Struthio camelus: one gene and its partners. The protein of the gene in region 3 interacts with the protein of the main gene of each other region in a pairwise test. Links are inferred from orthologs where the notes say so. Each region holds a gene or a part of one and is shown on either strand. Other genes may lie near its edges. The genes, in order: TEX11, BAG5, MAD1L1 and USP15.

The links.
Region 1: the proteins of MAD1L1 (region 3) and TEX11 interact in a two-hybrid assay, tested with the Homo sapiens proteins (2 studies listed by BioGRID and IntAct). The two-hybrid records come from large-scale screens. The link is inferred for Struthio camelus from reciprocal best matches to the Homo sapiens genes MAD1L1 and TEX11.
Region 2: the proteins of MAD1L1 (region 3) and BAG5 interact in binary tests that used the Homo sapiens proteins (3 or more experiments, as listed by UniProt). The two-hybrid records come from large-scale screens. The link is inferred for Struthio camelus from reciprocal best matches to the Homo sapiens genes MAD1L1 and BAG5.
Region 4: the proteins of MAD1L1 (region 3) and USP15 interact in binary tests that used the Homo sapiens proteins (3 or more experiments, as listed by UniProt). The two-hybrid records come from large-scale screens. The link is inferred for Struthio camelus from reciprocal best matches to the Homo sapiens genes MAD1L1 and USP15.

Annotation. Positions count from the first base shown.
Region 1 is NC_090952.1:25,538,517-25,546,721, reverse strand, and holds the start of TEX11 (testis-expressed protein 11), read left to right. Parts: upstream 1-4,972; 5' UTR 4,973-5,029; coding exon of another isoform or gene 5,030-5,054; coding exon 5,055-5,085; coding exon of another isoform or gene 5,086-5,162; coding exon 5,163-5,275; intron 5,276-7,407; coding exon 7,408-7,492; intron 7,493-8,205. Other genes in the region: nuclear cap-binding protein subunit 2, read right to left, coding at 2,452-2,550, 3,240-3,378, 4,217-4,398, 4,722-4,808. UniProt on the Homo sapiens protein: Regulator of crossing-over during meiosis. Involved in initiation and/or maintenance of chromosome synapsis and formation of crossovers.
Region 2 is NC_090946.1:72,466,039-72,474,025, forward strand, and holds the start of BAG5 (BAG family molecular chaperone regulator 5), read right to left. Parts: upstream 3,155-7,987; 5' UTR 3,062-3,154; intron 2,425-3,061; 5' UTR 2,397-2,424; coding exon 1,044-2,396; 3' UTR 1-1,043. Other genes in the region: COA8 (cytochrome c oxidase assembly factor 8), read left to right, coding at 3,234-3,359, 3,839-4,036, 5,326-5,389, 7,259-7,349. UniProt on the Homo sapiens protein: Co-chaperone for HSP/HSP70 proteins. It functions as a nucleotide-exchange factor promoting the release of ADP from HSP70, thereby activating HSP70-mediated protein refolding.
Region 3 is NC_090956.1:6,271,919-6,279,197, forward strand, and holds the start of MAD1L1 (mitotic spindle assembly checkpoint protein MAD1), read left to right. Parts: upstream 1-3,994; 5' UTR 3,995-4,092; intron 4,093-4,259; exon of another isoform or gene 4,260-4,387; intron 4,388-5,377; 5' UTR 5,378-5,381; coding exon 5,382-5,531; intron 5,532-6,828; coding exon 6,829-6,969; intron 6,970-7,279. Other genes in the region: MRM2 (rRNA methyltransferase 2, mitochondrial), read left to right, coding at 205-494, 1,287-1,711. UniProt on the Homo sapiens protein: Component of the spindle-assembly checkpoint that prevents the onset of anaphase until all chromosomes are properly aligned at the metaphase plate.
Region 4 is NC_090942.1:37,751,820-37,759,340, reverse strand, and holds the start of USP15 (ubiquitin carboxyl-terminal hydrolase 15), read right to left. Parts: upstream 3,055-7,521; 5' UTR 2,656-3,054; coding exon 2,567-2,655; intron 1-2,566. UniProt on the Homo sapiens protein: Hydrolase that removes conjugated ubiquitin from target proteins and regulates various pathways such as the TGF-beta receptor signaling, NF-kappa-B and RNF41/NRDP1-PRKN pathways.

The DNA of each region.
Region 1 (8,205 bases), on a different chromosome or scaffold from region 3:
CAGCCCTGGAGCCCGAGTCCTGCAGGCCCAGAGCGTGCCACAGCAAGGAGCCTGGCCAGGGTGGGAGGGGTTGCTCCAAGATGCTGTCAGTTGCTGCTGCCTGATCACACTCGGGGCAAGGACACCCCTTCTGACCGATAGAGGGTGGTGTGATGTGGGTACCCCTATGCTGTAGCACGGGCCCAGACCGTGCTTGTAAACTTGTAAGCTTGTAAACTTTCTCATTGATTTTTTGGCTCTTTGGGATTGTATCCTAGAGGAAAGGGACTTTGGCATTTACTGCAGCTGTAGTATTTCAGATGAATCGTTTTAGGTGAATACATGCATCTGAATAAAAGGTAACACAAATCTCTCTTTGCAAAGGCCATGTATGAAAGGGGAATGGTGCATAGCTTGCCAGCCTTGGTTTGGGACTTGCTGAAGGAGATATTCTTTCACTAGACTGAAATGAGTGGGACAGGGAGACCTCTGTGTAAAGCTGAAATCTTAGTATTTTACAGCAACAGACTGATGCCTTCTCCAGTAATAAACTAGTCCAAGCACCCGTTCAGATCAAACAGACTTCCACATGTTCCGTCATGTACATAGGACTGAGACCCCCAACAGGAGGAGCAAGTTGAAGGCTTGCCTTATATATCCCTACTCAAGGGACTTTTGCCAATCCAGCAGCGTAATGGCAGATCTCTCTCCCCGTCTTCCTCACATTTTCTCTTTTCCTTGCTACGTTTGCCTAAGAAATATTCTCTCCGTAATTCATATCCTTCACAAAGCACCTCTCACTGATGCTGCTTTGCCAGGCTGGACAGGGGACTGCATATATTTTTCCCTCTTAAGTCAACTTCCTGCTCCTTCTCGCTGCATCTCAGGGGCATCTCGCTGTATCACAGGTTTGTCAACTTGTGTTGTTTCTTAGATTTGCTGAAGGCTTAACATGCAGGTCCTTCAAAACCTGTGACAGTTGTACAGATGCAGCAACCTGACTTGCATAAACAAGCAGGTAGGAGACATTTCAAAAAATTAAATGCAATCCCCCCACCTCAGCTGTCAATGTCAAGACTCCAGGCTAACTCGAGCATTCAAGTAAGTTAAATTGTATGCCTAGTCTGTACATGAGTAGGCAACAGAACAGACAGCATTATCTTGAATAAGATAACGTGAGAGAAATTGTGACTACAGGTTATTGGCCTGGGAGCAGCTGTTATTATTTGCATAATACAAAACCAATTTACAGTCAGAGTTTAACTTGTGCAATGGAATTGGCTGAACCGAGAAGTGCTCGGGGGCGGATCGGAAAGGGTTTTTGGTTCCTCCATAGTCCCTTGTTCAGACCCTAGGCAGAAGTTAAGAGTGTCAGCTCTGGTCTTTATACCTCTCACATAAGGGGAAGAAAGCTTGCTGAAAACACAGGGAAAGGAGTTCCTGGTTCCTTCACCTCTGAAGTGCACACTGGGCCTTTGTATTGCTTTTCAGATTCTGGAACTAACTGCGGTAACAGGAGAGAGAAAGATTTCCTAGAATCTCCTGGTGTGAAACATAAGAACTTGCCTTATTGAGAGCAGCTGTACACTTTTTATAAGCAACTTCCTTCTGATTTCAGCCAGCAGCTATTGCAAAGCACAACAGGAAAGCTAGGAGGAAAAGCTAGTACCAAGAGAGAGGCCAAGAGAAAGACAGCAAGACTCATTTGTGCTCCCTTTTAGTCTTTCTGTTCATGACTTTAAAATGCTAATGGGGCACGCTCCCCAGCTCCTGTCATACCGCTAATGGTTTTGATGCACAAACTGCAGCAGGTACAGGACTCACTGTTTATTTAAAAAATTAAAAGAAATTTAACAAAATCACGCCGAACAGTGAGGATCTGAAAAGCCAGGCAGCACTGGGGTCATCACAAAAAGAAAGGCTCTGCAGGCCTGACCAAGCCAAGGGTTAGATGTGCAGACAAGCACCTCCAAGTGGACAGTAAGACCTTGTTTCACTTCTCTCATCTAAACAGCAATACTGTTTTTTAAGCAGACTGAGATTGTAAATTAGAGATCTGAAACTCTGGTGCATCTCTACAAGGTGCCCAGATACCTGGAGGGCTTTGATGTGGGTAAACTTCCCAGAAGTTCCATTTGAGAGCGACCATGGCTGCAGCCAGCCTGGAGGAAGCCAACCGCTCAGCTGCAACGTGAAGAGTATGTCCTGGCACAAGGTCAGCGTGACACGCTGCACTTCTTCTTACCCAGAATCCTGCAGAGCTGTCCGTTTTTTCCCTTGTTGTCCTGTATCAGCACAGAACATCCTCTCTAGCCCAGAAGGAAGGGGGGATGAACACATGTATATCCACAGTCTAAGGAGAGTCCCCTTTTGCTGGAACTTGGATTTCACTCCCTACCCCAATCCAAAATGCAAGTACAGGGCTAGCTCTGGAAGGACAGAGCCCTCTATGAGCTAGAGCCCATGAGGCGTTTAATAGATTGCAGGCTGATGGTTTGCCTTCTGCATCTGAATGATCTTGCCAAAGCCGCCTCTTCCCACATCGTAGTCTGTCCGGTACTCATCTCGCACCTGGGGCACAGCAGTAACACGCGTTAGTACCCTGTACTGCCTATCTCCCAGTAGACTTCAGAATCATCATCCCTTCCTTGCTGCACTGGTGGGGAACTGAAATTTGGGTTACAAGTTCTTTGACTTGTTCAAAATCTCTTTAAAGAATCCACCAAAAAATTACTGGTGGTAGTGAAAACAACAAACAAGGATACAACAGATTGCTAAAGGTCTTTTTAAACAAAAAACAAAGAAGATCCAAAAATATTCTAATTCAACTTTGCAGTTAGCTTTCTGAATCAACAGAAACATTTACCCCTCCTCCCCGCCACCCTCCAGGAAATCTGCAAAGGAATCTCACCTTCTCACTGGGGCATGCTGCTGGATTATGAGATTGGCCTAGCAACTACACTGCCCCCCCCCCCCCCCAAATTTCAAATTCTGCATCATTTTAGGAGTACTAGCTCAGGAATAAGGCAAATTCTGTTTGCAGAGCCAGAAAGATTGGAGTCCCAGCCAGAAACTGCCTTAAGCTCTACTTAGAGCTGTAAACGCCAGGGTAGCTCAGTTATCAAAACCACCAGGGAGTGTCTAAAATTCACTATTGGGTCTTCATTATCTGCACTTTATCTTGAATAAGACAAAACTGGCAAAGCAGCACCCAACTTTAAGGAAAACAGGTTCAGGGTCTGAACTAGTGTTCTCTTTACCTGTCCTCCAGTCTTTCCTCTCCCATACTGTCGCCCTTCCTTAAATCCTGCATCCCAGTCAGTTCGAATGATGCGGTCATCTAGTCTGGTGCCATTGATAAATCGCATTGCGTGTTCAGCATCTGCTCTTGTGTAGTATCTGAAACATACTGTAAGGAAAACTAAACGTGCTATTTTGTTGGCTGCAGGGGGGGGGAAGAGAGAACTATTGTATTTGAGAAACAGAGGAATCCTGCCTTCCAGCCTAAAACACTGCTCTTTTTTATGGCATCAAAAGCTACCTTCATATAAATGCAAGCTGAAAACAGCCCCAATTCCTTCCTAAGATGCTACACTTTAATGTGAGTACCTGTACAGACAAGAAGTAGTTTTGGATCACTTATTTCAGAAGTAGATGAAACAAATGTGTTAAAGCTTTGCTACAGGCAAGAACGCTGTAATATGCCTTTTTATAGCATATGAAACTTGACTGAATTTGAATAAGATGAGCAGGCCTCCCAGGAGAGCTTTGCAAAGGCAGCTCACAGTACAACTTGTACAAGCGTGTACCCTGTGCTCGGGAGTAGTGCCATGGATTATTCTACTAGTTCATTCAGGTGTGAAGTTAGGGTGAGAAAATGAACATGTGCTCTTAATTTTCACCACACAACAGGTCTGACTGGTGATTTCTTTTTGGGCCCTAAAATCTGCTAAATGAATGAATGAAAGGTGCTCTCTGCTGCCTCCCAAAAATACAGAAGTGACAGTACTTTTCACTTACGGTCCTGCAGTAAGACCTGCCTCTGAACGAGGGCAGAGGGGAAAAAAAAGCAGAGAGGACACAAGAAATGTGCTTGACAGCCAGAAGGATGGAAGGATCGACAGGGAGAACCTGAGTTTTGCTCCCTCTTTCAAGTTTTGCGCGCTTGCTTCCCAGAGAGGGACTAGGGGTGGCACCCACAAGCCAGCTGGCAGTAGCAGGGAAGCAGGGAGGATACTCTACGAAGCAGAAGCCGCAGGGAGTTTTCTTGATCTTGTCCAGCCCCATGACAATCCTCTTGACGTCCCCGCACTTGGAGAAAAGCTCCTGGATCTGCTCCTCGGTGGTGTAGAAGGACAGGTTGCCCACGTACAGCGTGGAGGAAATTTTGAGGGATTTCTCCTGCAGCTGCCTGCTACCCTGAGGGCAGAGACGAGCACACAGCGGGGTGAGCTATACCACCACAGTCCCGGGGCTCCGGGGGGCACCTCCGCCGGGCCCGGGGACACGGTGCCCGCCCGCCCGCCCGCCCGCCCGCACACCGGCCTGCCCCGGTACCCGGTGCCTCCCTCCACGGCCCCGTCGCCCCTCAGGCCCCAACCCCATCCCGGTGCCTCCCCCGGCCTCAGGCCCCGCTGCCTCCGTCGACGCTCCCCGCTGCCGCCTCAGGCCCCGCCGCCCCTCCCCCCTCTTCAGCGCCTCAGGCCCCGCCGCCGCCGCGCGCGCGCGCTCCGGTGCCGCACCCGGAAGTGCTGGTCGCGGTACTGGCTGATCTCGCAGTAGGAGTCGCTGTTGAGCCCGCTCAGCGTGGTGTGGAGCAGCCCCGACATCTCGCCCGCGCCCGGCCGGGCCCTGCTGCCGGGATCCTTCCAGAACCGGCGCGGAGCCCACCGGACAGCAAGCGGGCGGGCCGCCCACCGCGCTCCGCCTCATTGGCGCCGGCGCTTGCCACTCGGGGTCGGGAGGCGGGGCGGCCGCGCCGGGCAGCCAATCGGTGGGGCGCTGAGCTCCTGGCGGCGGCGGCGGCGGCGGCGCGGTAGTGGTGGTGGGAATGCGCATGCGCGGCGGCGGCGGCGATGGCGATGGCGGCGGCGTGCGGTGTGGCAGGTACCGCCCGCCGCGGGAGGGACCCGGCTCCGCTGCCGGCCGCTGCCCTACACCCGCCTCTCGGCCTTGTCTTGCAGGGCTGGTCCGCGAGCTGCTGAGCGAGGAGGCGCCGTCGCGCATCGCCGCCGCCACCGAGGAGCTCTTCCAGGCGGCGGGCAGCGTCGCGGCCGAGGAGGGCGGCGCGGCCGAGGTAGCGCCGCGCCGTCGCCCTGAGGGAGCGGCCGGGCCGCGCTGAGGCGACGCCGCGCGCCTCGTCCCGCCCGTGGGCGGCGGGGCGGGAAGTTCCCCCCCCCCCCCGAAGTCAGTTGCGCCACCGCCGAGGAGGCCGGGGCCAAGGGTTCAGTCCCGCGTGGGGAGGCGTGTTCGTGATGTCCACGCCGGTGTTTCGGTCTTCCAGTTCATGCCTCGTTATAAACTTGAGTGCAAACCCGCCTTAGGCATCCGTGGGTGCTTAAGGACGTCGCGCTGGCTCAAAACAGAGGTCTGTCCCACCCTGCTTGTGGCTTCCAGTACTGTTAGCAGCTGCCTGGGGAAGGGAGAAAACAAGCATGTAGCTTTACTTGCCTGGTAAACCCAATACATAAGCTCTGAGGTTATTCTATTTTCGTGTATTTGAACAGTGATCCAATTCGCTTGCATAATGCTTTTGGTTTTAGATTTTTTTTCCTCCTCTAGTCAGGCCTTGTGCTGGACTGCTTATGAATAAAGTAGTAAAATTCTACTTGAAGAGAAAGTTCTGCTTTGACAGAAACTGTGTGCAAAAGAATTCTGATGAGAAGTGTATGAATCTGGAACAAAAACAAGAATAGCTGAGATTTTGTCCAACTTGTTCCTCCAAAATTATATGCTGAGGGGAAATTTCATAGTGACTATCCCATAAGGCAGACAATAGTTCTGAAAGTCCTAAATCTGTGACGAGGAGCAAGGTGGGCTGGCAAGCGTCACAACCGGGAATATTTTCCGTGCTCTCTGTAAAGAAATACGTTTGCATAAAACCAGTAGCCTTCAGTTCTTCCTGTTGGGCTAAATGATTTTTAAAGAAAGGAGAAATCGTTATCTTGTAGTTTGTTCTCTTCAGTAAAAGGAGCCATAAAATTTTGCTATTTGATTCTTGTATGAAGCCCAAAGTTCTTAGTTAAGCAAGAGCATATTTTCAGAAAGACATTTGATTCGGATTTTATGATCCGAAGTGGTTGAAAATACTGGCTTAGGGTTGTTCAAGCAGCTTACTGCCTTCGTGTACGACTCTGTCATCTTTTTAACATCAATGCCTAGCCAGTAGCCTTTGTTCTTTGCTAGTATCAGAATTTTCCCTGTATAGGTATTTACAATAACTAAAGTACTTAATTTCCTTTTTAGGAGGCAAAAGAAGTACTATAAATGTTTGCAAACCTGATACAATTCTTAGAGCTCCTTTCTGAACCCTTCTAATTTTTCAATATCTGTTTAAAGTGTACATACTGTATTCTGAAAGCTGCCAGTGAATCAGCTGTGTCTTGGACAGTGATGTGCTATTGCACAATTTTTGCATGTATTTTTGTGAGAAAACGTCATTCCAGATGGATAGGCTAAGGTAGGTCATATTTTGATAAGTTTGGAAAAGGATTTGACAGAAACATATATTAGGACCCTGGAACAACATGACAGATGAATGGAATTTGTTTAGGAACATATTTTAATGAAACCAAACAAAGGACTGGGAATGTGTCTGAAGTCCACCACTTCACTTACAGAATTCGTTGTGCGCAATTTCAAATTAGAGCTGAAGTCACTGATGGATGACGTGACATGCGTGTGGGTACTGCTATCTGCCTTATGATTAATTAGTTCTTTTTAGTTTCAGGTCATGTCTGCCTTTGGTTTACAGTCATTTTCTTTCTTACCTTGCTTCATCTTAGAAATACTCTCAAATGTTTAGAAGCTGTGAAATAGTCTTTTCTAAGACTAAAGTCTAAAGACTAAGTGTATCTTATGAAAGACGCTTATGAAAAGAATACGTGAGTCCTGCCAAATGCTTGTAAGTTTTCTGAAATGGCTGATCCATTGAAAAGAAGCTACTTTTAGCTCAAGAAAGCCCATGTGACCTATTCAGCATGCCTGTTTTCAGGTTACTGTCCCAGATCTCTCTGTGGAGACAGTCAGATCAGGTAATAGTTTCACAGTAATCTCACATGTGTGAGCCTACTGTAAAAGGAAGTTACACAGACGTGCGCACAGGTCATTAACATGACATACATGAAAGATGATTCTTTTTCCAGTAGTACATTTCAGCGTGATCCAAATTGAGGCAAAGATTAAATCTAATGGAATTCTCCCTCTCAGGTCGAAGAGAGTGCAATAAACCTGTGGAATTGGGCTGTGACCAAACACACGGGTTCTGTCATCAATGATGAGCAAAGAGCTAAATGTATGTATGTGTTCTGTATCTCCCTAAACGTTTTTGTGTGCTGTAACGTGGAAGGGAAAAACTCTGCTGACAGATACATATATAACGCTGTGGATTTGTTTGGATCTTTGTAGATAAGATGTAGACAGAGAAAATTGTACAGATGGGCTATAGAAACGGTTCAGGAAGGATCATCCTGGTGTAATAATGATCTTGTGGCACAGAATCAGTGTAGGAATTCTTATCACTCCCCGTTCCTGTGCCAGAGCATCCGTAAAAGCGTGATGTGACCAAAGGAAGCTGTAATTTGCCTTCTAATGCTGTTTTTAATCTGAAATTTTATGGAAATGATATTGGTGTAAATTTTAGACTGTAAGTCACTAAATTGATGTCAAGTAAGAAAGGTACTTTAAATAAACGCTCTCATCAATGACTACATGCAGAAAAGCTTTAAATTATTCTTTTTGCTAGCTTGCTTTAGCCCAGCACACAGCTAATGGCTTTGCCTCGAACCAGGAGCAAGCTTGGGGGAAAGTGGAAGGGAGCTTTTGATCTTTTTCCTCATCCTATTCTTTATGTAGATCTGTAGGACTGTAATATCTGGCCTACATTTTTGTCTTGGGGGATTATAGTCAAAATTGTGTATAATCTGCAGGGGAAAAAAATGGTGTCAGGTAAAGGGAAAAGGGTAAGTTTACACAAAATAAGTAATAATTGTTGTAGAGTGTAATGTT
Region 2 (7,987 bases), on a different chromosome or scaffold from region 3:
AAGTCATGCTTGAAGCCACACCTGACCGATATGAAATACATAATACACATTTAAATCATTAGGGACACCTCTATAGCTACCTAATTTTACAAAAATAATTCTGAAATGCTCATTCATTTCAGCGTGACTTCTATTTTTACCAAATGTGAAAAAGACTAGTCAAAAGCAAATCTAACAGCAGAGTTTAAAAAGACCCTAAGTAGCCACTAAAGAAAGTTCAGTGCATTTTTCAGGGGTTTATGGAGAGCAGTATGAAACCCTACAAATCCCATTTATCTAATCAGTGTATGTGCACAGATTTTCCTCTCCAAGTCTCATTTACCTCAAAGCAAGAATTTGAGGGAAGTTTCCACCAACAGAAGGAAAAAACCCTGCATTTGCAAACAGAACGGGTCAGATATTACAAAAACAGACCTAATTGGCTTTGCCTATGTAAATGCTAATTTGCAGTTGGCATTATAGTTCTGCTAGGTAAGAAATCTAAACACCCATAAAGGTATGCTGGATGGAATAAATCAAGTATGACTCAAAAGCCAGCAGTTTTTTGCATTTAATACTTTCCATCATAACAGCACATTAAGAGTATATCCAGACTGCTATGAACTTGCTGGATAGATCCTCATGCTTAAGCGCTAATTTTTATGCCCAGTCTTCTTGAAGTAGTTCTGCCAGTCCTATACCATAAGGCAGTTTCTGCACCTTTGAAAAAGCTGCACTCTCTAAACATTGCACAAGATTATCACAACAAAAACAGGGAAAAAAGCCCATTCGACCAGGTATTAAGCCATTCCTTCAGAGGATCACATTTCTTTGCTTGACAGCAATGACCAGAATTGCTGATGGTGTACTGACAGTTGCCATGGCAAGTGGGTGAGCGCGTGGGATAGCAGACATATAGCCAAGTCAACTTCTTATGCAATTGCCATGATTTAAGCAAACATACAACACATCACTTTTAATCACGTGCTGCCAATTGAACTATCAGTCTGCAGAAAGCACCAAAGGGGAAAAAAAAAGGTATTTTCTGTTAGACTATGGCTGTTTCAGTACTCCCATTCATCTGTTTTCATATCCAGATAGTAAAGAATGTTCTGTGCAAGCTTCACTGCTTGCTTTCTGGCAGCCTTAACCCGCTCATCACCTTGTGGATCAACAGCATCGAGTGCTAGAAGTTGCTTTGTAAGAAGCTCTTCCAGTCTCATGTAATTTTTATCCATTCTGTTTCCATCAAATGAAATCACTTCCTGCTGAATTTGAGACAAGTTTCCAAGAACGCCCCAAACTGCTTTATGAGATTGATGTTCAGCAGCAGTTTGCTCAGGATACATTTGCCTTTTTTCAAGCGCTTCCTTTAAATCAATATACGTTATCAGAGTCTGCACTTCTATTACTGCTCTTCTCCTGGCTTCTCTAATACAGGGGTTTTTCCCTGGACTGACTTCATCTAATTGGGCAATTAATCCTTGCAGTTCTGCCTTGGATCCCAAATACAAGTCAGAAGCATTCTCTGTTTTTAAAAGTAAAGAATTAACTTCCTTCATTTTCTTGCGGATTTCTTCTATTTTTAGAATGGACTGATTTTGTGCCAGGTCATAAGCATGAGTAGAATTTGCTTCCTCCTCCAAGTCCAGATATTTCTGCAGTTTATTGATCTCTTCGACTACTTCCTTTCTGTAGTTCCTTATTTCTGTGCGACCACAGACATCTAAAGCATCCAAATCAGCAATCAAGCCTGTGAGCACGCAGGATAAATGCCTGCAGGTATCATTGCTATTAACTCCCATTAGAAGTGCAATAAGAGTTCCTCTAGCTTTGTTCACATCACACATTACAGAGTTAATTTTGGAGACAGAAGGATGTGCATCATTAGAGAGTGGTAGGGACAGCTGTTGCTTTACACAGCTTTCTATAATCTCCTGAACAGCGCATACTTTCGTCAGAGTGCGATATCTTGCTTTGCGTAAAGAAATTTTCCCTCCAGTTTTCACCTGAGTAAGCCTCAATATAACGTCCTGAATACCTTCTTCAAATTCATCACTTATACAGTTGCCTCCTTTGTAAAAAGGTGTAATCTCACGTTCCACAAGCAACTGTGCTTCCTTGAATATAGCCTCTATTTCCAGTCTGTGGGGATGGTTTGCATTTTGTTCCAGTTCCTTGAGTAGCCTCTCCGTTTCCTGAGCCGCACGCTTTCTGGCTTGCTGAATATCTCCTTTTCCTTCAGTATCTACGGAATCTATTTCAAAAAGCTGTTTAGTAAGAGTCCTTTCTAGTCTCTTATAATCTTTGTCAGTAGACAAGCCACTGAAGATGACAACTTGTTGTTCGATCTCTTTGACTTCTTTCTGTATTTCATGCAACCGTTTTATGGATGGATGTTGGTTGCCCATATCCATTCTCCTCTTTCTTCCAGTTTCAGATGAACTACAAAGAAAGTCAGGAAAAGACGTACGATTAATAAAACGCTATGCGGGCATTTCGTTCCGTGGCGGCCTGAGACACCTCAGCAGGGCAGCTACTTAAATCCCTCTATCAAGAGGAGTTAAAAACAAAAACAAAACCGTGTCCGGTACTCTGCAGCCGTTCCTCTGTTCTTTCACACCTCCGGCCGCGGCGGGGGGAAGCCGAGGGATGCCACAACAAGCTCGGGGCGTTTACCGGAGAAGTTCAGCCTTGCCCTCGCGGCCGGCTCTGGGCGACAGGGCAGGGCGGCAGCGCGCCGCAGACCCGCTCTCGCCGCGCCGCGCCCCCGGCCGCCGCCCGCCGCCTCCAGCCGGCACAGGCCCCGCAGGGCCTCCCCCCGGCGCCGCCGCCTCAGGCCGCGCCGCCCCCGGCCGCGGCGCCCCGAGCCGGGGCGGAGGGCGGCCAGGCGGCGCCCGCAGATCACAATGGGCCGCTGCTGCGCCAGCCCCCGGCCCGCGGCGGCGGCGGCGGCACCCGAAGGGGGTCTCCCACCCGCCGCCGGGCCCGCGGCGCACAGCGCAGCAGACCCGCCCGCCCGCCCGCTCGCTCCGCCGCCGCCGCCGCCTCCCTGCCCGCAGGCCCGGCCCGGCCGCCTCACCTGTCTCGCCCGCCGGCCCGCTGTCCCGGCGCTGCGCCACGGGCCGAGCGGCAGCCGAGGGCCGCACGCTCCGCTCCGCTCCGCCCCGCCCCGCTCCGCCCCGCTCGGCTCCGCCAGCCCCCGGCCGCGGGGCGCTCAGCGCCGGCGGTTCCCTGAGCGCCGTAAAGCGGCGATGGCCGCGACCGTTAGGGCGGCGGCGGGCGCGCGGCGCCTGACGGGGGACGTTGGGTGCCGCTGCCTCTCCTCGGCCGGCGGCGGCGGCGGCGGCGGGACGGCGGCTGAGCGGCCGGAGAGCGGGGTAAAGCCGTGCGGGGGGCAGCTCGAGGCCGGGCCCGGTGCCGCGGGGGCAGCCGGCGGGACGGGACGGGACAGGGCGCGGGCGGCGGCCCACTCGGCTCGACCCGGCCGGGCCCGGCTCCTCCCGGCTGCGGGGACAGAGCTGAGGCCGCGGGCAGGGTCTCCTGCCGGGGGAGCGCCGGTAAGGTAAGCAAGCAAAAGAGCAGGATTTGGGGCTTATCTTAATTACTGTTATTTATCATGATTCCTATCTGTCGGAAGAGTTAAAGGTATCTTTTCTGTAATTCATCTCCAAACGTGAGTGAGTCATGAGCGTATGACAGTTTTCAGTCAACATGAATGAATGTGCATGACTTCTGACCTTGCTGCGTGTTTTAAGGTTATATCCAGTCGTGTGGAGTTGCGGGATTTGTTTCACATCAGGCTCTTCCGCAGAAATTGCGCTAAAGTGGTGATAATCCTTCTGTATGTATTTTTAAGGGATCGGGTTTCTGCCCTCCAGCACATTCTTGTAACGATTGGATTGGCCCGCCCGACAAGTACTCAAATCTCCGACCAGTAATCTTCTATGTTCCCCAAAATGAATCCCTGCTGGAGCGCCGGCTCAGGGAGCTCAGAGAGGAAACCCAGGCTTGGAACCAGCGGTTCTGGGCACGCCAGAACGTGTCCTTCCAGCAGGTGAGCGGGCAGGGGAGGGCTGCGCCGCGCGCCGCTGCCCAGCCCCCGCAGCCTTTGGGGTGCTGGCCCTCTGCAAGCAAAGGCGTTCCTGTTCTCCGTTAAAAGGATTTGATGACTGCGCAGTAGGATGACCTTGAGCGATGATTCCTGCGTTATATGGCTATCCCAAATAGCCAAGTTCACAAAATTATGATTTTTCCCTTCACAAACTAGCATTAAATTCTGCCTTCAGTTACTTATCTCTTGCTTTTAATTGCTACTACAGCTTCTTTTAATAAGTTCACTGTCTTTGGGGAAATTCCTTTTTGTCATTAATTTTATTCTCAATGTTAGTTTGTTTAAAATGACCTACAAAACTGAAGAGCTTATGTATTTTACTGCTGTTTAGTGTATAAAAGGATATTTGCTTTTTCTTTTTTCTATTTTGCACTGAAAAGGTAAAGTTGTAACCACCTTTACATGCAAGACCTGTAATATTTGACTAGAGCTGCTTTTGAAAATGATTCTGCAGCTTTTTTTGCTCTACCGTAAGTGAGAAAAGTATAGGTAAGACCACTGAGGGTAAATGAGGGATGTGCGCTCTTGCACTGGCAATGTACCCCTAACAAGGCGAAAAGGGGGGACGTTTTCAGTCTTGGTCTTTCTTTTAAACATTGTACCATGGGTAAGGACACACCAAATTCTGTTGGAAGACTAGCAACAGTCCAGTAATTCACCATCACTTGTGATGGTCTTCGATCATTGTATTGTCCCCAGACTTGCAAAGGTCTTGGAGTAAGTGGAGCATGCTTTTTTTTTTTTTTTTTTCCCCCCTTAATTAGCTAGAACTGCTTTTTAAATTTGAAAATTTGAAATACTAATAGTTATTCTTTTTCCATCTAAGTAATTTCAGTTTTCTAAGGTTGCACATTTTCCTGTATACTAAAATTCTAAAATAAGTAACACAGCAAGTCTTCATAATTTGTCTTTTGTAAAACTTTGCAAGATTTGGATCCTGCAAAACAATACTTAAGCTCAGCTATAACTTTACTTCCACAAATAAGTTGCGTATGTTTCAGCAGGACACTTGCATGAATTAATTGATGCACACAGTTAACATCGAAGCAACACAATTATCAGTGTAATTAAGTCACTGGATTCAGGAAAATGTTTTTTTGACATCTCCAAGTGCAATGAGTACTGTGTATATTTTGGAGGGTATTAAGCGCAAAGCTGGCATGTGATTAAAATCAATGGTTAACTTCAAGGACTGAGTACGTTAAGTTCTAATGTGGAAAAACATATTTTAGGAAAAAGAAGAATTTATTTATTCAAGACTGAAAGCCAAGGGTCTGAAAATGAGAGATGAAACAGGTCAGTGACATCTTTTTTTGTAGTTTAGGATGTGCTCTGAAATCTGTTTAATTTTTATTTTTGCCTGTTTATGCTCCTTTCAGGAGTCTAACAGAGAAGGAGGGGAGCTCTTGAAAGCTGTGCAGGTCAGATCTGCACAACTTCCCCCCTACCCTTCCACTGGAAGGAATGTGCTGAAATCCTAGCAAAGTAATTTCATCATTCTGTACCCTTAAGGGGGAAGGTTTTTTTTTTTCCTTTCACAGCTCATCGCCCCAGTGAACTAGCTGAGCCAAACATATACTGTTTGCCCCAAGCGCATGTTACGGTTGAGTGGATAGATTCACACTGTTCAGCCTCGGGTCGATAATATGTACAATGAACATGTTATTTTTCCTTGAGGGAGAATGAGCTTCCGAGGAGACAGCAGCTGCTCTTTGCCCTTCTTTGCCTGAGGACAGTTACTGTAAAATGTTTCCCTCTCTAACTCATTACATGAAATTGAAAACAAGAGGCCTTCGTAATACAGCGAGTTGGCCGTTGTAACATGAGGTTGAACGTTTTGTTCATAGAGTAAAGATCTGTTTTGGTTTGATAGAAAACCTGCTCTGATGTTCAGTATTTCACAGACCGTTGTGTTGCACTTTTATTTGTGTCCCAGTGATCACTTTGTAGTGGAGAAAGCATTGTAATTAAATTACATGTTATTAAGAAAAAGTTTATTTTATATTGCTGATTTGTTCTTTTAGGTTTTTATATCCTAGAAGTAAAAGAGAAGATAGTAAATTTGTACATTCCTTAAAAATAAAATTGCATTCAGTGCAAATGTTTGAGTAATTGGTTTTGTTCTACGCCATGGCCCTGCTGATGGGTGATGCTGGAGCAAAATTGTTGCTATCCACAGTCTACTTGTTTGGAAATTTTCACTGAAATCACAAGACACGTGTGTGTGTATCTCTCTTGGTAATAACCTATACGTATGTGCAGTTGGAACAATGGTTATTTCTCGTATATACACGAAGACTCGGTTAGTTCTGCTGATACCAGAATGAAGAAACAAATTAACTGTAGCTGTTAAGCAGGCAGCTTTCAAATGGTCTTACGATAAGTTTACCTCATGGAATGTTAATCCATTGTAATATTTTAAATTTGTAAATATTGACAGATAGTCGTGATCAATAATTTACCTTCTGATGATAAATCTCAGGAGCTTTAAATTCATTTTGAAACGCTAACAAGCTGAATCTCTCGATTCTGTCTCCCTCATCATATCTGAATGTCCCAGGGGATAGGGATTTGATGCTCGTTTTGGAAATATCAAAAGCGCCAGAAAGTTTATATAGGAAATATCTGGTCAGAATATCATCTGGTCCTCTGGATGCTTCTTCTGTGCTGTAGCCACACATTTTCCTTTCATGATCTGTGGAGAGAATCCATCTTCTCTTATATTCTGCATTATATGAGTGGCATATTCAGATTTTTTTTTTATATTTGTGTGTGTGCGTGTGTGTATATATATATTTTATTCAGGGATATGTTTCAGGTCCTGTCTTGAACTTACTTTTCCACAAGAGACTTGTCCACCCTATTGTTAATAAATCTGACAGCCCAGAGCAGATAATCTTTCATATGAGTTACTTGAAATTTACCAAAGGCAGCAGAAAGAATTGTACCATCAAATCAAAGTTTCAAGAGGATCAGCATTTTTAATCTGCTCTGCTCCCTAGATAGATTTTTAAAAAAATAGGGAGATAGAAGCATATTAACTTGTCTAGGGATACACAGGAAGCCTGTAGGAACAAGCAACCCGAACTAGCTTTCCTGAGTCTGCACCCAGTGTTTTAATCACAAGAGCTATCTTGACAACGTTATGCTAAAACTTATTTTCAGGTCAAAAAGCAACGCTGAATGCAGAAGAAATGGCTGACTTCTACAAGGACTTCTTAAGTAAAAATTTTAGAAAGCATATGCATTACAACAGGTATGTAGATGATTTTCTTGCTGAATATTATATTACTGTCTAAGTGAAGGGCATAACATCAAATAGAAAAATCAAACATTTTTTGCCATAGTTGTTAAAATAGCATCTAAAGCTATCATTTTAGAATTTGCAGAAAAATTTGAAAAAACGCTATTAGCATTTGACATGAACTTAGGCATAGTCATTTGAGTTCTTCCACTATGTATGTTTGATTTTATGGAAAGGTAGATGTTACGTCACTCTTTCCAGAGACTTTAGTGAGACAAAATCAGGCAGCGCTCTATTCCTAAACATGCCTGCCCTTGTTTTAAAATCAGGTAGTGCCAGCTGCATCATTGCAGTTACAAAGTGTAACTGCACAGCCTTGAAAACAGCGGAGTTTATTGTAGACGTTTTGACTTTTGAGGAGTCATATTTAAAAAAAAAAAAAAAATCCGTTTATGCCTTTGTCTCTATGTTCTCCTCTATTGTTGCCAGCTGGCCTGAAAACTGTGGCTGCGGAAGTGTTGAAATTTCTAAAATTTAGTTAAATTGAGAGAATGACTGTGCATAGACTGCTTGAATACATGTTTTAGAGTATTTAGACTGGAAACACTGTTAGAAAAAACAGAATACAAATTCAAGAAGGAAATAAAAAA
Region 3 (7,279 bases):
CGAGGCTTTTTTTGTTGTAACTGGAACCGATAACTAAAGATGCTGCGAATGGCCAGGATTCCAGTGCCTGAACTGGAGGCTGCTGGAGAGCGTGGTTATAAACGGGAGCAGACGTAATCGGGGTTAGAAATAGTTCCTGCGGAGAGCTCTGAAATACACTGTGGTGATGTGCTAGTCGGTTAACTCGCCTCTCTTCCCGGGTAGCGGCCGGAGTTTGGTGAGCCTATCCCTGCGGTGCCGATGCTTCCACGCTGCGGTGGCGCTCCTGAAGAGAAAGACTGGAGCAGATCACCAGTGGCTGGAGCGGCATTTGAAGGACCCCTTTGTCAAGGCAACGAAGCAGCAGAATTACCGCTGCCGAAGTGCCTTCAAATTACTGGAGATAGATGACAAGCTTCACATCCTCCGTCCAGGACTTTCTGTGCTTGACTGTGGAGCGGCGCCTGGCGCTTGGAGTCAGGTTGCTGTAGAGAGGGTCAATGCCTTGGGTACTGGTAAGTGCACACGCGCTGGCACCTGAGATGGAGGTAACGCTCGTTTTGAAGTGTGTGGGAAAGCTCAACTGTGCTGATGGCGGAGCGGGGAAGGTACGTGGGTACAGACTGTCGCCACAGCCACTGATAGAAATTTCAAGTAGCAAAGAACTCAAGATTCCTGGCCCCAGGGTGATAGTAAAGAAGCGTAATTCTTCATATGGTCTGGAGAAATCATATCTATGAAATTAAACCCTGGGATGAGGTGCTGCTATAAGACTAGCTAAGTCTTCTGCTTAGCTGAGTTGGAGGAAGTTACTATATAAAAGGCTAATGAAAAGGCTGGGTGAGATCCCCTCTTCATCTGCCTCTGAAATTCATGTGGCCTCCAGCGGGTAACTTACTAAATTTTTGTTTCCTTTCTTGAATAACGGCAGTAACCACTACATACAGCTTATGTGATTTAGGCCACTAATATTTATAAGATAAAGTATTATCGTCTGTATTATTGTCCAGAATTTTTGGACTGCCAGCCTCGAAAAAATCGACAGAAAAAAACCAACAAAAATACCTCTTGCGTATCTGGAATAACTGCCTTTTAATGTTTTGTATGGAGTAGCCTATAGCAAACCGTCTATCCAGATATGTGCAGCAAACTCTTTATGGAAGGACAGGGAGACCGTGTTTGGCTGCTGATACGTTTTTGTGTATTGAATATCATGGAGCTCAGGTATATGCAAGTTGCTTGTAGCCCTTATATCATAAGAGCGATCAGTGTGTCATTCATTCTGACGACAACTCTTTGTTTTCTAGATCCTACTGTCCCTACTGGTTTTGTCCTTGGAATTGACCTTCTGCGTATTTCCCCACTGGACGGAGCAGTCTTCCTGTCAGAGACTGATATTACAGACCCAAGCACGCTTAGGACAATTCACAGTCTGCTTCCTGCAGAGAAGGTGGATGTTATCTTGAGTGATATGGCACCTAATGCAACAGGCATCAAAGAACTGGACCATCAAAAGTTGATCAGCTTATGTTTAGGCCTTCTGAATCTGTCGCAAAGCCTTTTAAAGCCAAAAGGAACTCTGCTCTGTAAATTCTGGGATGGACAGGACTCCCGCCTTCTTCAAGGCAGACTGAAGGAGCAGTTTCAAGACGTGAGAACTGTAAAGCCTCAGGCTAGCCGGAAGGACTCTGCTGAATCTTATTACTTGGCAAGACTGTACAAAGGGAAATGAAAGCTGAGAATTGCAGATTATCGAACTGGTGATCAGACACTGATTGGAAATCTTTACTTGGCAGGTATTTAAAAAAAAAAAAAAAAAGGCAGGCATGAAGACCTCCAACATCAACTGTCACATTGTTGAGAACAACCTGGGAGAATATACTGCAATTCTTAGGAAGTACATCATGCTTTTCAAGTACAAAAGTAAAACCAGGATGGTGCCCTGCTGAGTTTATCCACTAATTATACGAGCAGAGACATCCAATTTAGCTTCTCACCTGTGGAGAAAACTGTTGGGAATGAAGAGGAATAATCTGAAAGGCAACCTCTGGGGCTGGAGTAATGGAAATAAAAATAAAACAGTGATTACAGGTTTTTTTTTTTTTTTTAATGCGTGTGCTTGAAAATCATTGCACTACTACTGCTGTCATATTGGAGACTAACCGTAAAGGCAGTTTCCAAAATGAGAGGGGACAACAAGGGGAGTGTGAGCCAATTTATTTCTTCTCTGTCTTTCTTAAAAGCTGGTACAATTTCTTAGCACGCTTAAAAATAGATAACACTCTTGTGCATGTCAGAGTCTGCGTTGTCACATACAATCTATAATGCAGACGTTCAGAACGTATGACTCCGGCTCTGGGATATTGCAAAGCTTGGTGGCTTTGCTGCATTAGCTAAAGACACGTGTTATATTTAGAAATTGTTACTTCATTGTACTCATAAATCCAGTAAACGACAGAGGCTCATCACAGTTGAGAAAATAATTTTTCCCTATATCTTCAGTAATGCTTCATGTTTCACTAGTGATGTTTGTTAGGTAAAATGGCGAGATGTTCCTTGGATCCCAGATAGGTAAAATTACTGGTTGAATTGTAGAGTTCTATTTGCAAAAATAAACATAGCTACTATCTTATCTGGAAGTGACAGCTTTTACATTAAATAGGTCTTTTATCAAACTCTGTGAGGCATGAGTTACAGGAGGGGCTGGTAGCACTGCCTGTTTTTAAGGCTTCCAGATATTTCTCATTATAGACACCTCATTTTCAATGGCTTAAAATATATCAAATTTTAACTAGTTTGTCTGAAACTTTCAATTCTGGATCTCTCTACTTCAACAGTATGCCTGGAAGTGTTAGCCAAACAGCCTAAACTAGGAAGCTGGATGTTGATTTGCGTATGTTTGGGGGGAACAATTATGGCAGTCTGCTATTTGAAAACTTTGTTACCCTGTGATTTGGTAGCAACTACAACTGAGCAGGATGTTTCTATTAACCATGTGCTGTTTACTTTTGTTGCTCTGACTGCGGTTGCGGGAGGGGAGGATGAATTCTGACTGAACAGGAGTGTTGAAAGCCTGTCCGTGGGACAGGGTGAGAAGAGGGAGGAGAAGGGCGGCCAAAGTGGTGCTGGAAATGAGGCTGGATGCTAGAGAGGCTGTAAGGAGGGAAAGAAAGAGCAAACGGGACAAGGCCTAGAGTTTGGGGGGAGCCTGGAGGTAACAAGGACAACGTGAGGAACGCAGAAGTCTGGCGGAGCTGGCGTTGCAAACGGACAGCCGCAGGGAGGCCGAGCTTGGAAGATGCGGGCGGGAGTCCATCGTGGGAGGGCCAGCTACAACCCCTTCTCCGTGACGGTATTTCCCCTCTGAACTGGGAACGGAGCCCTGCTGCTAGACTGATTGTCTCCCTCTGCGAAACCCACGGGCAAAGCCTGTGTCTTGCTGATGTTTAGTGCCTGGAGCATCTAACCTACATAGCGCGGACTCTGGGGAAAGGATGAAAACAGAGGCCGCATGCCTCAAAGCGGGCCCCCGGGACTGCTGGCTTTTTGCTGTTACCTGCCTTTTCTTTTCCCTGTAAAATGAGGTTGATACTTAAACTTATGATCACAATAGCCCCATGGGATGAGCTTTCGCAGTTTTCTTTTAATCCCCATAGATCTCTATTTTACTGATACTTTAAAAGTGAGCGATGAGAATCTAAGAAACAGCCGGAGCAGCTCAGTTTTCTGGAGGGTTTGCTAAGGGCAGCAGCAGCTGATCAGAGCTAACGCTCCCCTTTATCTTTCCCAGGATTTTGCTTTTTTCACTCCGCAGCACCGGCACGTGCGTGGGCTTGGCGAGAGGCAGGTCCTGGCCTAAGGGCAGAGGGGACGGGGCAGCGTTTTGGGCAGCCGGGGGCAGAGCGAGCGCCGCATGTTATGGGGCAGCGGAGCCGTGCTGGGGCGCGCCGGCCGGACATTACGGTAGGCGGCGCTGCTGCGCGCACGCACTCGCAGCATTACGGCGGCCGCGGGCGCTCTTCTCGCGGGAGCTGGGCGCGAGTTCCCGTGAGATCTCGGCGGCGGGGCGAGGAGGGAGATCCAAGCGGCGGCGCGCGCCGCCGGCTGTGGCGGGTGAGTCCGGCCCGGCCCGGCCCGCGGCTCCCGCCCCGCCGCCCCTCGCGCCGTCCCCGTGTCTCCGTCCCCGTCCCTGTCCCCGTCCCCCCCGGCAGCCCCCGGGGCTCCCCGCCGGGCCGACGCCGGGGCCGGGCAGCGCGGCGCGGCCTGCCGGCCGGCCGGAGCCTGTGGTGAAGGGCGAGTTGGTCTTCCCAGTCCCCTTGTTTTCTCCGGATCCGTTTGTTTCCCGAACGGGCTCGCTGGAGCCCGGTTACCTGTTGGCACTGGTCTCTTTTGGATTTACTGGTGTCTGGTACTGAAGCCCTTACTTCGAATAAACGTTGTCGTTTGGTTTTTCCAGCTGGTCTGTTGTTAGTGTGCTTCTCCTTCCCCCCACCCCCCCACCCCCCTTTTCGTGGTGCTGTAAATTGTTAAGTGCTGCGCTGTGCTGCTCACGCACGAGCCTGGAGGTTGTCCCAGCGCTGTGTCCTGTGCAGATGTTGTGTTTTGGGGTTCCTGGTTCTGGGACTGCGTGAGGTGTAAATCCCTGCAGGCTCCTGAGGTCTCCTGAGAGCAGCTTACAGGCTTCTTTGAGCTCCACGCTTGACTTATCTTTGGCCTTCTAACAACGCTTTGAGGGGAGAATTTCAAGTCTGTGCGTGAACGAGAGCCCAAAATTTCACTTTTGAAAGTGACCTTAGAACCTGGGAAGTCTCGTCATTGAAAGTTAGGTTCCAGAGTGACTTTTGGAAACCAGGATCAGGTTCGTAGCTGTGTACAAGGTAGAGTTTGCTCTATGGGTTTAGGTCTTTTCCTACCCCCGGCCTTACAGTGTGTCGAGGAAGAGTAGCAAGGGTTCGGTTTGTTGGTGTTACGTGCTGTGGACCTCCCCTGGCACAATGTTAACTTGTACCCCAGCTTTATTCTGATCATATAGCAAGGGAGAATTCAGTCTTGCGTAACTTATGACACCTCTTGTTTGTATATTTATGGGCTGAGACTCAGGGGAAAATGTATTTAAATACAAAATGTACAATTTCAGGTGGAGAACTAAGGGGAGAGAGGTTCTCTTGCATCAGTCTCTCATCTTCAGCCTCAGTTGGATAGTGTTTTCTGGTTCACACTGATCCCAGCAGTAATCTGTGAATCTCAGCAGTCACTAACAGTTTGGGTTTTGTATGCTGTAAATAGGAAGATCTTGCCTTCAGTGTTACCCAGGGCAGTGTGTCTCTTGTTAGAAGAGCAGCCAGTAGACACTAGGTTGCTCTGAATGTTTTGCTGATAACTTTCTGTGTATTTGCAGAGCCATGGAGGACTTGGAAAACAATACTACTGTCTTCTCCACCCTGAGGTCTCTCAACAACTTCATTGCACAGCGTGTGGAGGGGGTGTCTGGGCTGGCTACGCCAGGATCATCGCAAAGCTCTTTGCAAATGCAGTACCAGCAGAGGGTGCAGGTGAGGTATCCTCCTCTTGCTGATACCTGCAGCATCACCTCACTATGAATGTAGACTCCTTTTGATTCTGTGTGATTCAAGATCGTTTGCATTAAGACCTGACCGTTCTTTCTAAAATTGCTATTTATGCATGCTCAGTAATGGAGAAGTTTGCTTTGGGTGAACATTCTTTAAGTTTTTTTTAAGTGTTAGCCTTATGTGTATTTCTGTCTTGTGAAAATTTAAGGAAAGTCCTTTGAATTTCTTCCTCACTGATTATATCAGTATACCAGCTCAGAAAATTAAATTGTAAGTTGCTTTCAGTCTGCTGCTTAACAGGTGTATTTCCAGTAAGTTATCTTGTTTACCATTTTTCACCACCCTCTTTAAAATTTCTTTGCCTTGATGCATATAGGAGACTTGCACTAGTGCCATGGCTTCGATATGCCAACGAGTTTTGCTACCTTATCCTCTTCTATTCAAATCCATTGATTGTTGTGACTTTTTCCTGTAAGCTGCCTTTCTGATTTTGTTTTGCTTTGTGTTCATAAGACATCTAGTAGGATGACATCTTGGACTCTATATTAGGGACTCTATATTAGACTCAGAAACATTTCTGCAGTCTATATCTTGATATAAGTTCTATTTAAATTCCTAAGTATACAATAAGGTGGTGGTTGTTTATTTTTTTTTTTTTTAATGTAAATCTCCTTTGCATTGAGGTTGCTGACAAAAATTTGTGTGTTTTCTGTCTGTAGTACTTCTCTGGTTACAGAGCCTTCGCTAGATATATGGTGATCGTATATTGCTTAGAAGTGAGGTGTTCTATTAATATTATAAGTGCTTTAAAATAATTTTGTACGAAGCATTCAGTCATATAGATAAAAAATATATTGTAACAGGTTGTAGAAAAACATGCTATTTTGCTCAACAATTACATTTCATGGGAAAAATGAGCTCTGCTTCTTGGTTAGTTGCTGTTACTTTTATAAAGCTTGGGGGATTTGGAATTAACCCTCTTTTAGGTAGAGAAGTGTGTTTTGTCAGATAGAGGGCCTCTAGAATTTGGATGAGAAATTCTTAGTGAGGAATTTAAAATTCACTTGTTTGTAACTAACATTAATTTGACGTGGGTTTCTGAGCATGTTGTCGAACTCTTAGCCTTAGCTTCCCAATCCGCAGCTTGTTTGGGAAGACGTAAGTGAGGTGATAGTTCCCTTGTAATTTTGTAAAATACTATGCAAGTGTCAGCTGGATAGTATGGGTTGCAGTGCTATTAATGATGTGTAATATCCCTCTTCACATATGAACTGGCCAGTTGGAAGAACAAGCTGGGCAGATCCATTCCAAATCTCAGCTCCTGCAGGTGGAACGAGAGAAGATGCAGATGGAGCTTAGCCACAAAAGAGCTCGCATTGAGCTAGAGAAGGCAGCTAATACTAATGCCAGGAACTATGAGGTAAGTACAACAGCTGCTGATGGTTTGATATCATAGGCCTCAGTCAGAACATATGTAGTACATCTATGTTAGTGTTTTAGTTTGGGTCAGGGGTGTGGTTTTGATCATGTGCTGTGCTTTGGTTTGCATTGAGCTGTGTCTCAGACTGTGTATACTAGACCTTTTCATCAAACAAAAAAAAAAAATTGTACTCCAGGAGCAAGCCTGGTGTTCTCCAACTGCCAGTGGATGTTCACTCTTCAGGGCAAGATCTGAGCTAATTTGTAGTTAATGCTCCTGAAAAATATACGGTGTGGGTGTCAAGTTTGCA
Region 4 (7,521 bases), on a different chromosome or scaffold from region 3:
AAAAAGAAAGAATTAAGAAAATATATAATTCAAGTTCTGTGAAAGGCCAGTATGGTTTATAATGTTGAATTCACTAGTACTAGTAAGGTTGTGCCCTGGAAAAGCTTAATTTTGATGTTTAATTAACATACCTGTTTAGAAGAAAAAGGGTGAGATGGAAGAATCCTCAGTCTCTCCTACTTCAACCTTTTAATTTATTAACTGTCTATAACAATAGGAGTTTAAAAATGCAGTAAAGGCCACTCCAGATGAACTAGCCCAAAATCTTGTCTCCGAGGACAAAATAGTCAAAGGACACTCACCTTGCCCATCCATTGGGGCAATACTTTTTCATCTCTACTACGCCCAAGCTATTCTTACAAACACCCTATGAAACAAATTCTGCAGCTTAATCAATTGTACAACTGTTTCACTATTCTACCAATTCTTAGCTAACATCTAACTTTAAAAATGTTGCATTTAAAGTTAGCTTCATTTCCTGCTCTCTGCAGCGAACGTGAAGAACTAATGAAGAGTTCATTGTCCTCATTACAGATAATAAACGATTTGCCTCTCTTTGTCCTATTCTTCGGTTTTCTCTTTTACTAATGGAAAACCCCAAAGCTTGATACTTTCTTTATATAGCTTATTGCTTTCCTCTAAACTCTAAATTCTGAATAACTGAGACAAAACTTTCAGTACAAGCTGCTAATCTTAGAAGGATTGTATTTTACATACAGTGCTTTAAGGCCCAATCAAAACAAGCTGCTCATTGAATTGTTATATATCATTGTTCACATTCTTTTTCAGCAATACTAACTACTGAATGAATGAAACTGCAATTTTGAATCATGACTTACAGTGCTTTAACTATTACATTTCCTTATTGACCCCATCCCCTCAAAATCAAAAAGCTATTACCAAAACATCTCTGAATAACATATCTGGACTAAATATATTCTTCAACTTGTGAAATCTTAAATACATAGCTCTAAGTACTACCCTACGAATGAACATGTACACACATTTTTGTTTCTAGATTTACTAGGGGAAGAGTCAAAGTTATTAAGACTTTATCATAGCTTTTTCAGCCTTAAAACATCCAATTAATATTAGAATATGAGATTAATATTAGACAACAATCACAGCTAAATATACTTAATACAAATATACTAAATATACTTAATTGGGGAAATAAGCTTCCAAACGAGTATATTTGATTTTTACATATGTTAAAATGTTTAATGTACTAAAAATGTAGCTCAAGAAACCTACTGTTTTTAGTCGTTATGTAAACAGTCATAAAGTTATTTTCATTTTGAATAATATTAACCATTTGAGAAATCTTTCAGTACTTGGAAAGTACCCAACAGACTCATAAAAGAAAAATCTCTTAAAATAAAACATTTCAAGTCCAAGCAGCCTTGTACTACCACTGGTCATTTTCAACATCACCATGTGAATTGATTTCCTTTTTCTAGTTGCTTATACTTCTCAGTTTAAGAGCAGCCTGTTCTTATGCCAAAAAGTGAACGTATACTCGGCAGTACTTGAATAATGCATCAGAATATATGTATGGCTCTGACACATGCTGCAGTATCAACACTGTTAAATATAGTCTTTTATAGAACTGGAACAGTGAGTGATGACAGCTGAAATGAGGTGGGCAAGTTCTACTTTTGTGTATTTGTAACTTAATTTTCTGTAAGTTTGTGTTTTAGCCTTTGTATTTAGGTGATCATTTCACAAGGGAAAAGATGAAGAGGTTGAGCGGTGGAAAAAACATCAGTTCCTTTTTCTGTTGTCTTAAAAAAAAAAAAATTGCTTCCTAGCCTCAAAGAACTCAATCACAGAAGCTCAATTAACCAAGCACATCTAGAAAGAGATGCTCGTTTAACCTGCCTAATGCTTTTCAACCACGGATTATTCTGTTGGCAATCCGCATGGCATACTAAGAAATATTTTGTCACTGGTCAAAAAAACATATATTTTTAGATGCTTGCTGCAGAACACGCGTTCCTAGGGGCCTGGCGGCACCTTCGGGGAAGGCTTCTTTTATGCAGTTAACACGGCCACAGTGAAAATGAAGTTTCCAATTGAGGCCTACCGCAGCCGAGCACGGGCTTCACCGCGACACCCCTACGCTATAGATATGATTCTTGGCAACTCGGAAGGTGACGCCAGAGCCGTTTCCTCCCTTTAGCCTGGCGGACGGCAGAACCGCCCGGCAGCGGAGCGCTCCTCCCGCCGCCTTTCTCCCCGCGAGGCCGAGCAGGCGCCCCGCGGCCCCCGGGCCCCTCATTGTCCTCGGCCGCCATCCGGCTCCGGCACCGCCGCTCCCTGCTCTTCCCTCCCCCGCCGCTCGGCGCCGCCAAGGAGCCGACCTCGGCGCCTGCCCCCGGCCGGGAGGGAGGTGCTGCCCCCTCCTTCCCCCCGCCCTGTCATCCGCCTCCCACGGAGCACGCAGGAGGCCGGGCCGCGGCCAGCGCGGAGGGAAGGAGGTCGGTCCCTCCGCCAGTCCGGCGGCACCGGGGGCGGAGGGAGCCGCCCGCGTCCATCCATTCGGGTCCCCCGGCCCTTCCCTCACCAGGTGTCGCCCTTGCGGAGGGCGGTTTTGAGCAGCGCCGCGATGTCCGTGCGCTGGGTCTCCAGATCCGCCGCGCCTCCCTCCGCCATCTTCTCCCCCCGGCAGCAGCAGCAGCAGCGGCGGCGGCGGCAGCGGCAGCAGCAGGGGCAGGAGCGGGCCGCGCTGCATGCTGGGAGTGACGCCGACCAGGGAGACGCCCTCGCCCCCCCCTCCCTTCCCACAATCCGCAGGGCGGGGAGCCGAACCCGCCGCAGCCGCTGCTGCCGCGGCCTTTGCTGCCCCCCTAGCGGCCGGGAGGTCTCTCATGTCACCGCGCGGCAAGCAGCGCGCATGCGCGCAGCCTCCCCCCCCCCTCTCTCTCTCTGTCTCTCTCCCTCCCCCCCCCGCCGCAGGGTGGCAGGGGGCGTGGGGAGCCAGGGCGCTCGGCGGGACGGGGCCGCTGCCGGCTCCCGCCGCTTCTGTCCTCTCAGGCAGGTCCTCCTCGGAGCGGAGGGGAGGGGAGCCCGGGGCCGTGGGACGATGACTCAGCACGGCTATAGCCTGACGGGAGGGGGGAGGGGAACGACCCCGACCGAAAGCCTGGCTCCCTGCCTGGCGTTGAGCCCTGCCCGCTCGCCCGGCCCCGCCCCCTCCGCCCGGCTCCCCCGCAGGCCCCACCCCCTCCGCCCTGTACCCCCGGGCCCCGCCCCCTCCGCCCGGCTCCCCCGCAGGCCCCGCCCCCTCCGCCCGGCTCCCCCGCAGGCCCCGCCCCCTCCGCCCGGTTCCCCCGCGGGCCCCGCCCCCTCCGCCCGGTTCCCCGCAGGCCCCGCCCCCTCCGCTCGGCTCTCCCGCAGGCCCCGCCCCTCGGCGCTGCCCCGCGGGGCTTGCGCGGGCGCGGGGCGTCCGCTTGGTGCCGCAGTGGTGCTGGTGCAGCAGCGTGCTGGTTGTGGCGTCCGCGTCCTTCCCGTTCCCGTTTCAGCCTTGGGAGACCATATTTCAAAATGGGTCTGAAGGAGGGTTTTGGTGGAGACCATACTTTTGGAAGGAAGAACTAGTGTGACGCTTCCTGTTAGCGTTTTAATTTAAACAGAGATATAATGAGATGTTGGACACCTAGCTAGCAAATGAGTGATTTGGATTCCGCCAATGATACAGTCTCTATTATTGTGCAAACACTGTTGGGAGTGTAAATATGCTGTGTGACATGCATGAATATTCCCAAACCTGTACAGAAACCAAGGGATAATTTACTGGGTCTGTTTCCGTCTTGCCAAAACCTGATGCTTGTACAAGCAGCGCAACGGGACATACGATATCCGACCAAAAGCTGCGTGAGTCCATGGGTTACATCACATTAGCAGAATTCTCCCCTTTCTACCTTCCTACTTGTATACAGATTTCACCAAATCAAAATTGTATAGAAGACTGTGCTGGGGGGGTGGCAAGTGCTGATTGCAAACAGCGGAAAACAAAATTTGATTTTGTAGATCTATCTGGTATATCTATAAAACATGCAATTGTATGTCCAGCCCCTTCCTCCACCCAAATCATTACACTGTGCTGAATTGTATGACTAACACTAGAAAGGTATCATAGGCTGCCACTCATATTATAAGCTATTAGGCATTATTAGCTATTAGCTAATTGTCACTAATGAGCTAATAGCATGTAGTTGTTATAAATAGCACTGAAGATTATTCTTTAGATACAGATACATCAAAAAAGAGAATAGAATTAAGGCTATTAAATGCAGCCAGGAGAGTACCAAACTAAGTAAATTGCCTGCATTATCAGCAAAGACGATGATGTTGAAATAAAGGCAAAGCCAGGATTTGTATTTGGAAAGGGCACATGGAAGTCATGTCCAAAGTAGAAGAAGAGCTCCTAAGAGCTTGGAGGGGCCAGCCGATCACATTCATAGCTTCTGTAAGCATGGAATATGCAATCCCAGGCTGAGGGGCAAGCGAGTCAAAGATATCTGTTATGTGGAGAGTTGTATTATATGGAGAACTGTGGATCTGCTGGCTATGCTTAATGAGACGGAAGAGTGAACCGGGCAATGACAAGAAGGTTTCCAGCCATTGAATGAATAAATGTCAGGGTTAGAACCTCACAACGTGGGAGGAAGAATTTGTGAGCCCCCTCCCCCCCCCTCGCCCCCCATCCAGTCTTGACAACTAAAACCAGTATTATAAACAGTGAAAATCATCCGTATGTACCAATGTTAAATTTTTGCAAAAATTGCATTTTCTTGGAAAATTGGAGGAAAACATTTCTTGATTCACTATGCTGGAAAACAGCTTTATTGTTCAGTAGTCTGTAATAAGACCAAGAGCCACTTGGCTCTTGGAGCCACGTGTGCCTCTACTTTTTGGGTTTCATGATTGCAGTTACTAGGTGAAAGATCTCCTGTTCCTGAATTCAGTTTGTTCATGGTTCAGAAACAGATACTAGACAGATACTAGGTATTAAAGGAACTAGACAGAAAGGAGTATAATGTGCTATCTGAATCAGAGCTTTGCTTAAGGATTGTAAAGGAGAGACAAGAATAACTAAGTCTCCTTCTGGGATTGTCAGTGCTTCACAAGAAGTAGCTATGCCTTTCACACTAAAACAGCATATAATCTTCCTAAGCTTCAGGAAACCTTTCCGCTATGCAAAATTCTTGAAAACTGCCAGAGAGTGTTAAATCTGTATTTTTAGTAAAGCTTTCTGAGTTTCCAAGTACATCTACCCTAGAGAGTGCCTGGGGATCTTTGCATTTTAAACCACTGGATACACTGAAACAGCACTGATACTGATGAACTGCCTCCTGCCTTCTCTGATGAAAAACAAGCTTTTGTGATATAGATTTACATCTTACTAATTTTGATATAATTGAATTCAGGATACTGTTAATCTAGGCGAGAAACGTGGCTGACTTTCCAGTAATCATTGGGCCTGCATTGTTACCTGATTTCATTGCTATCTGATGAATACTTGTAAACATGTTGCATTGTTTTTCTAAACATTGATCCTAAAAAAAAGGGAAACAATTAATCCAATATGTAGCTGCTCAGACATTCGGCAAACGGGCTTCAGATAACAAACCATGTAAGCTGAGGAGTCTATTGATTCCCAATACAGCACAAAGTTTACGCTCTCCGTTCTTGTCTTCAAGTCAGTTAGTGGACTCGGATAAAGAAACTTACGGCTTCTTCTTTTGGGATATGAGCATCTCTGCTTCTCACTGGGAAAGCTTGTGTACGCAGTAGATTCTGTGGAAGTGACCGACAACTGTAAGTCTCACCTCGGAGGTACTGTAGACCAATTTACTTCTCCACTTTTTTCTTTTCTTCCTAAACCTCCTACAGCGTAGTTGTGAGTTTATGGAGGAGAAAAATAGGGTTTCAGGTTCCCTTCCCCAAAGGCCTGGCAAACACCCCGGCCCTATGGTAGGGTTACAGCTAGCGTGGCTCTGTGAATTTCCTATTCAGTTTGAAGCTGAGTCAGACATGAAGCCCGACATACCAGCATGAATACAGATGGATACATGTTTTACATATAGCATTCACACATATAGGCAAGAAAACACTGGTAATTTCACTTTTGGGTGACAAATCTGATGGAAACTCTTTTAAAGCTAATCTTACTAGCTTAATGTGTTTTTACATGTTTAAAGGGGAGTGAAAGATTATCAATTATCAGTTCCCACCGTTGCTCTTTTTGTTCCATGTCTTACTTTTTTGGGATGTATGGGAGTTGCCTTAAAATAATGATAAAATTATAAGCTTCTTTGAAGTAGTTCAATAACAAAACAAGAAAGCAGAAATCACAAGAGACTGGAGTTATATAATGGGAAGATACAGCAGGGCACTTACAAGGCAAACTTAGACATGGGAACAAAAAATCAGTACTTATGAAACCTGCGGAAATCCACGGTAGCATGGATGGACCGATGGTAAGAAGCAGATGAGAATATGCTTTTTTTTTTTTTAAGGAATAAAGAAGAGTGGGATAAATTTGAAAGACAGAATGTGGGGAAATAATTTGTAATTAAGATACCCATTTCTGTCCAGACAGTAAAACCAAGACTGCATTCTAGTTTTTGAATAGTATTTATCCTAATCCACTCTATGCTTGGTTAATGCTTTCCTAATTCACATAGGCTGAATGCAACAATGCTAAATCCTTGTATGAGTTAGGTGGAATTGCAATTTCTAGCTGTTATTGCAATAGCACACTATCTTTCCTTGAGACAAGAAAATGCCCCCAGATTTTAAAATTTGATAGTTCTTTATTTAGTTGATTTACTCAAACTATTACTTTCTTACCACGTTTTCAGTAGCTATTATTACCAAAAGGATTTTTTCAAATGAGAGAACAAGGGTTTAGACTGATGGAGATGTGACTATTATTTTTTTAATTCATGTAACATGGAGTATTCAGTCTTATCTTCATGCACTTAATCTAGTACCATAGCATCCTTAGAAGAATTAAATTGGAAAGTTCGTAGATGAGAATATAGGGGAATGAAGATAAAGAAAAGTCCAGTGGGACCAACTAAGGGTGTCCCAGAAGTTTTTCTGATATAATGACAGTAGAAGAAACACTAGTATTTTCCCATTATTCTAGTTCAGAATTTTTAAATAGTGGGAAGTATTCTTTTTATTTGTTTTTATAATTTTCCAGCAAATTACTTCTTAATAGAGTATACAAACAATTAAAGAAATAATAAGCTGAATATGACATGCAGTAATATTAAAATAATTTTCTAATTAGTTTTATGAATGTAGTTATTATCTTTTTATTGGTTACCCCTCTGTTTAATTGGAAATTTCAATTCTACTTGGACTTGAAAAAAGATGTCTGAAAAACAGGCCTTTCCTATTATCTGATTTTAATCAGAAGTTCGTTTAAACAATAATTACGTATTTTCACCAAGATAACATGACTTTCCATGTCCTTAACCCAATGCTTTTAGCTAGACATAAAAA